2 linked regions of the Drosophila melanogaster genome follow. The protein of the gene in region 1 interacts with the protein of each later gene in a pairwise test. Each region holds a gene or a part of one and is shown on either strand. Other genes may lie near its edges. The genes, in order: Amy-p and Obp47b.

Region 1 (3,927 bases):
CCAAGTCCTTCGAAGGATACCACCAATGGGTGGATGAGGTGTGATTTATGTATAGCTAAAGTCAACAATCAATATTCAAATTCTCATCAAACCTGTTGAAAGCTGTCTGCTTTAAAAAAAAATCCATGAATGTTTAAAATAGAAGCACTTGAAAACGTCCTTATAAATTTCTTATTTCATGCCACATCAATTAGCAAGCACATATCAATTTGTCTAATTCGTAAAATCCACGATTGTTATCAAATTTTTTCGCAAATTTCTGTATCTCTGTTTTGTATTCGATTGGAATGTCCAAATCAATAGATAGCCTCACCGCTGGGGACTTTAGACCTGGACAGAGAATAACAAGAAAATAAATTTCCCTCTTGACTCAATAAATAAAATCAATGCTTTGAAGCCCAGATAATATATATATTAGATTCTTATCATCCCTTGCGAATAAAAGTGTTGTGTGTTTATAATCTCATCATATATATTTCGTACAATTAATAATCTCAATTTATTGCCTGGCTGTTCGCCATGTTCCCCAGTTGTTTACAACTTGGCGTTGACGTGAATGGCCAGCACTCCATCGTCCTCGGAGCTGCCAATGTAGATGGAAGCCCGTCCGTCGGATCCGACGGTGACGGTCTTGCCCGTGCAGGAGGAGCCGCTCTTGGAGCCGGAAATGACGTCGCAGTAGGTGCCGGCGGGCAGGCCCGTCTGCAGGGAGCTGTTCAGGTCGTAGTTGTCGTTGTTGAAGGCCACGAAGCCGCGGCTGCCTCGGCTGAAGGAGATCTGGTTGCTGCCGTTGTCCCACCAGTTCTGGATCTCGTCCAAGCCCACGGTGTTTCGGAAGGCCACCATGTTGTAGATCTGGCGCCAGCGGTGCTCACACACCCAGCCGCCGCTGCAGGAGTTGTCGCTATTGAAGATGGGCGAGGCGATGTTGTGGCCGTCGGTGGTGGGCGGGCCCTGATCGGTGTCCGTGAAGGAGAAGGAGGACATCACGCGGGGAGTGCCGAAGGGGTGCGCCAGCATGAAGGCGGAGGCCATCTTGTACTGCTTGGGCACCTTGTAGGTCAGAACGTCGGCGCCTCCTGCTCCATGTCCGCGCTGATTGTCGTGGTTGTCGACGAATACCAGGGAGCGGTCGGAGGCAGCGAAGCCCCAGGCGGTGCCCCAGTTGGTCAGGTACTGCAGCTGGTCCTTGCCGCGGAAGACCTTGCCGATGGAGTCGGAGTGGCGGAACTCGGTGATGGCGCCCAGTCCGGTGTACTCGGACTTGCTGATGGCCTCGCCGCCCATGTCGATGACCTCCTGGACGATGTACGCCTTGGATCCCGAGGCGAAGCCGTGGTCGGTGTTCAGGTTCTTGAGGCGGCCATAGATGACGGCCAGGTCGGCGGGCCACATGTGCTTGGCGGCGTCCACGCGGAATCCGGCCACGCCGAGATCAATCAGATGGTCCAGGAACTCGACCACCTTGTCCTGCACGTAGGAGTTGCCCTGGTTAAGGTCGCGCAGACCGACCAGCTCGCAGTTGCGCACCTCGTTGGCGTCGTTGTAGTTGCTGATGGCGCAGGTCGGGTTGAAGTCCAGCGAGGAGTAGGGCACTCCGGGATAGCTCTTGCTGCTGGGGCTGGCGGTGCTGCCGCCAGTGCCGTAGGTGCCTCCGTCGGCGGCCATGTGGTTGAAGACCACGTCCACGTAGGTGCGCACTCCGACGGCGTTGCAGCGCTTGACCATGCTGGCGAACTGCTCCTCGTTTCCGGAGCGGGTCTCCAGCTTGTAGGAGATGGGTTGGTAACGTTCCCACCAGGGGCGGCTGTCCTTGACGGCGTTCTCGTTCACAGGGGAGACCTGAACACCGGCGTAGCCATTGGGTCCCAGGAAGTTCTCACACTCGGCAGCGATGTCGTCCCACTTCCACTCGAAGAGGTGGACCATTCCACTACGACCGGAGGCGTAGTTGGTGTCGAATTGGGCGTTAGCCACCGCCAGGAGGGCGAGGCACACTATGCTCTTGGCCAGAAACATGGTAATTCCAGATGGAAGTTCAGTTTCACTCTGGTCGGAACTACTCAGAGCCGCTCCTTATATAGTGGACCCCACTGCTACTTTATCTGAGGGCTTCGCGGGGAGTGATTTGTGACTGCATGGGATCTTATCGCTCCCTAAGGGGTTTTTTCACGCATGGGGTCTGACTGGCGATTAGTTTGTCTAATCAGAATTTCGAGCAGACTGGAGATCGCAATTTTTCGCTGATGATTAGTGAGTCGGCTTATTTTCGTTATATTTGTATCAATAACTCATCGGGAAAATGCATTCCTTTGAAATCGGTTTCAGTTGGGAATTTATTGACTATTTATTACGTTCACGCTCCTAGGAGCGGGTTTACTGTGAATTGTTATTTGGATTTTTTAGCGTATTTGAAAGCATTGAAATCATGCAATATCGCCTAAAAATGTTGAAAATAAAGGTAGCAAGCGATTTTGGTTTGAAGCTTTGGCTGCGCCGTTCTCTGGAATACGTGACTTCTGGCCTTGACTGGCGGCCACTTGATCTCTGGGTTCTGAAGTGGCGGAATGTTAACACGTCCAGGACGACGGATTAATTGGCGACTGCTGCGCAACTTATCTGTGTCTATGCAGGACCTTTTTCGGCTTTGCATGCTCACATTTCCTTCCTGTCGCAGTGCCAAATGAAATTTGCAGAGCAAAGAAACGTAACAAAAAAAAAAAAACAAGAATGGCAAAATGCAACACATGGAGCTAGTCAGACTCCTTGGGGCGCTTCCTGTTGATCCTTGAGCGCATAAGAGCGTCCTGCCATGCCGGATGTCTCTGGGTAATTTAGATAGCTGCAGTTCTTGTTGCTGCCGCTCAAAGTTGCATAATGTCACTTTGAAAGTGTCGCAGGGCAAAGGACATGCGAGCACCCACAGGACATGCAGACATCTTAAAGCTGCGATAAGCCGGCAACGATTTTTATGAAATTCCTAAGACGGCAGTCTCCATTCGCTGTTTGCTTACATCGCACCCTGTTCCTTTTTACTTTTGGCTCTTAGTCAACATCCTTTTTTAATGTGACTGTGTATGCCCGAAGGATTTGTGCGTAATGAAAAACTGTCACGAAGGGCGAAGGATGAGCCTAAGCCATTTCGCAGGTATGTGTGGAGAAATTGAAAAGCGCTAGTCGAGATCCGGGGGAGCATTAAACTGGCAAATTTGTGACCAGGACTCGGGCCAGGACATTTATGGCCGACAGACGGCGACGACAGCGACATAAAAACGGCGACGCCTGCGTGATAAGCGCATAAATCAGTCGAAGGACGAAGAAATCCCTTACCCCAAAGCCTCGGACTCAACCCAAGACGTAACTCCCCATGTAGAAGATACTTTTTAATTTCAGTTTATATCTCGCTGCAATGTGGAGTTACTCGGGTAATTCGCTTCCCAGTTAATTTTGTTTTCATTTAGCCTAAGACTCCTGAAAGTTCACAGAAAATTAACTTTCTTGCTTACAAACTAAAGTCTCACAATTAATTACCACAATTTTCTAAGACTGATAAATTAATTTACTCTTATCAACTTTTTGGATGTTAAGACTTGCAATTAATTAACAAAGTTTTGATTTAACTGATTGTTTGAATTCACCTTATCATCGTCACTCTAAACGTTATCTCATTCTCTTATCACATTCAAAGAACAATAAATCATTCAAGCTACACAAATAATAGATAAAGCTACAACTATAAGAAAATTTAATTATTATTCAACGTCAAGGGTTTGCTGGACACATGCCAAAATGTTATAAACAATATATCACACCTGCTGATTTCCTGTAGTGACAAACCTACAAGCCTCTTCACCAGCAGCAGCAATCACTTTTCCAACGAATCATATGCGCAATGATCAAAACGCGAGCTGAATCCCTTATACCCAA
Region 2 (3,568 bases), 5.8 Mb from region 1:
CGACTTGTGTTCAAACAAAATCTGTACAACTGATTTTTCCAACTTTAAATGCAATAGATATAGCCACAACTTTACAACTTTTAAAGACTATACCCACGCACACCACAATGTCTTTTTTCTTTAAACAACTGCACCTTCATATAACCGATTTAGGACTGGACGAGCCCCCATGTAAGATTGTTTATTATTATTGTTTATTATTAATTTAATTATTAGTTTAATTCTAAATGCGGTAATTATATAAAGTATTCTTAGTTTGTGACCGAACGACTGCTGCTGAGAACTCGACTGACTGCAACGCTGACTTCCACTCGACTCCACTGCTGCCTTGCGATCGTTCCTTCGATGACTGATTGTCGATAACTTCGATTTCCGACAATCATGTTGCTGCTCAACAGCGCTGCCAACCGGGTTGTTGCCAGCCTTCAGCCTTACTCCATGTTACATAAATGTATATGGTGCGTACTTCTATGATTAACGGAAAGAACAACAATATAAAATAGCATTTTCTTTATATTTTATTTCAAACCTAAACAAAGTGAGATAATCTAAAAAACGGTTAATATTTCGTCACAAGTTTTAATTCAGATCGTTTGTATACTTCAGGTGCGATCGTCACATAGTTACTACCTCGTTAATTAGTTCCAGCGATCCAAAATTAGATGAATATAAAAAGTTAATTTGATTCTTATTTAATGACTACTTTTTATAAACGTATGTACATTGTACAAGCACCATCTCTATCAGGTCGTGATGTTAGGCACCCAAACCGCACTGCGTTACGTAGGCCTTGGCCAGAGTACACTGGGCATTTGGAGTCCACCGATGATCGGGGCAGTTCTTGAAGTACTCCATGTAGGTGCACCCAAGGACGATGGCTGAGAAGGGGCTGCATCTTGGTTGTTGCTGCTGCGTCTTTTGCTGCTGCACCTGTTGTTGCTGCTGCATGATCATGGCCAGTCTGCGCTGCGATTGGGGCTCACACTTGGAGAACGCCATGGTCATGGTTTCCACGTAAAGGGTATCGTTGGAGAACTTAGCGGAGAGATCACTGCGTATGTTTGCCAGGTTTAGTTTCTGGGGCTCATCAATATACTTGGAGGATGTGAGGATGCACTCAGCTAGGCACTAAGTAGATAATGTATTATGTATTGCGACTTCTTAACAATTTCATAGGCTGAGATTACTCACTGCTGCCGTGTCCAAAGATGGAGGACCTCCTGCCTTCTGTCCATTTGCTGTTCCTAAAATCCGTTGGGCGCACTGCTCAGCCACCTGGTCGCGACCCCCATCCTTGCAGCAGAGTGCGGGATCCTAGGAAAGTGTCAAAATATCTTAAGAATCACTTTAAAATTAAAAAAAAACCAAACTCAAAACCCACCACTAGTTGCGGTGGTCTTTGGCAATCAATCGTGGCTTGGCCAAATACTAGACGAGTATTTAGGGCCAGCGAAGCGAAGATCACAAGAAGCTGACTGGGCGACATAGCTGCAATTGAGTGAGTAAAATGACTGATATGAATATGAAATCGCAAGGCCCATTTTATATCCCTCACGCAGCTCCAAATCTAATGGAACGAAAAGAGTAATGGCCACTTAATAGTGCCAGCCACGCATGACCAGAAAAGCCCAGCAAAAGTTCATTGTTGCAATCTGCTGCTGTTTGGGGCCAATGTCATAAATAATGTCATGTTTTGGGCCATTGACATTGCGGTAAGGTTATAGTTCGTTATATAAGCATAGAACGTTCTTCGCTCAATTAAACAGCAATTGCCGAAAAAAAACTGTGGTGCTGGGAATGCTGCTGTAAAATGTGTCATGGTGCTCGAAATGGTCTATAATTGCGAGAATTATGTTCCAATTCGGTAAAAGGAACATGATTTGGCTTTGAGAAATTTAATATTTCTAAAATAATCAATGACCTAATTAGATTTCCATTACGAATTCTGCCGCCCAATTAATGCACCAAGTTGGCAGTACCAACATGATGAAGATTCAATCGATTGCTCAGTTATCGATAACCATGGACGCGGGCACCAAAATGTGAGTAAAAAACATGGTATAAATTATATGATTTAAGGGTTTAATATTGTTTATTTCTCCTAGCCTAGTTGTGGGCGATGTGCGAGGTCGCTTCAAGCAGCTATTTCAGCGCGTGGAGCAGGTCAACAAAAAAGCGGGACCCTTCGAAATCCTTTGCTGCGTCGGTGACTTCTTCGGGGAGGACAAGCAAAACGAGGAACTGATTGCCTACAAAAATGGTTTTAAGCATAGTAAGTTAAGTGTAATATAAGCATTTATTATTCTCTTAACCCTTTCCCTGTACTTAGTCACTGTTCCCACCTATATCCTGGGACCCAACCAAAGGGAGCATGAAAAATACTTTGAAAATCTGACGGACGGTGAAATCTGCACCAATCTTACGTATCTTGGTCGACGTGGGGTCTACACGCTGAGCAGTGGTGTTAAAATTGCCTATCTAAGTGGTTTGGAGGCACAGGGCACTGCAGATTCCGCTGGCTCGGAACACGAGTTCACCAAAGCCGATGTCATCGCTGTGAGGAACTCATGTTTGGTGTCCAAGAACTGCTCCACAGAGTACCGCGGTGTGGATGTGCTCCTAACATCGCAATGGCCCTTTGGTATGCAGGAGAAGGAAAACGTAAATATACATCTAGAGCACTTGTTACTGTGAAACTAACTAATTCCTCTTCTCAGGCCACAGCATCCAAGTTGGTATCATTTCTTTGTCGTGAAATAAAGCCGCGCTATCACTTTTGTGCCATTAATGGAACACACTACGAAAGCGCACCCTTTCGGATGCCCAAAGATGAGACTACCCAGTTTGAACTGTGCACTCGCTTCATTTCCCTTGCGGAAGTGGGAAATGCCGAAAAAGCCAAGTACATCTATGCACTCAGCCTGAAGCCAGTAGACAAATCACGCTTATTGGACCTAGCGCAGAAGACAACAAATGAAATTCCGTGTCCTTTCATTGGCTTGGACTTAGGCGGAGCTATTGGCAAGAATGATTCGGTGGGTAACCTTTACATATCTATAAGTACTCCAAGTGACTAATTATATATTCTTTCAGTCAGAAAACCGACAATACTTCTACGACATGGATGGTGGCAGACGCAAGCGACAAGGCGGTGATAATAACAAAAGAGATAAACGTCCTAGAATACCGCAGATTGAGCAAGGTTTGTCTAGTACTTAATTTTACAAGCTGCATCCTTAATACTATTCCTATATTTGTAGATAAATGCTGGTTCTGTTTATCCTCACCTGATGTGGAGAAGCATCTCATTATCACTGTGGGCGAACATTTTTATCTTGCTCTGGCCAAAGGACCGATTAACAAACACCATGTCATGATATTGTCCACCAAGCATGTGCCCTGCGCTGCTCAACTAAGTCCAGATGATTGGAAGGAGCTCAACAAGTTCAAGGCAGCTTTGCGAAAGTTCTTCAAAACGTTAGGCCAAGTGGTGTGTTTTACTGAACGGCACTATAAATCGGTTCACCTACAAATCAACGCGCTTGCCTTTGAAGAAGGCTATGCCTGG

The links.
Region 2: the proteins of Amy-p (region 1) and Obp47b interact in a two-hybrid assay, tested with the Drosophila melanogaster proteins (one large-scale study listed by BioGRID).

The regions. Positions count from the first base shown.
Region 1 is NT_033778.4:17,118,252-17,122,178, forward strand, and holds Amy-p (amylase proximal), read right to left. Parts: upstream 2,053-3,927; 5' UTR 2,020-2,052; coding exon 535-2,019; 3' UTR 385-534; downstream 1-384.
Region 2 is NT_033778.4:11,301,491-11,305,058, forward strand, and holds Obp47b (Odorant-binding protein 47b), read right to left. Parts: upstream 1,498-3,568; 5' UTR 1,487-1,497; coding exon 1,382-1,486; exon of another isoform or gene 1,315-1,381; coding exon 1,192-1,314; exon of another isoform or gene 1,129-1,191; coding exon 757-1,128; downstream 1-756. Other genes in the region: CG7741 (uncharacterized protein), read left to right, coding at 1,960-2,042, 2,106-2,272, 2,330-2,661, 2,718-3,035, 3,094-3,202, 3,261-3,568.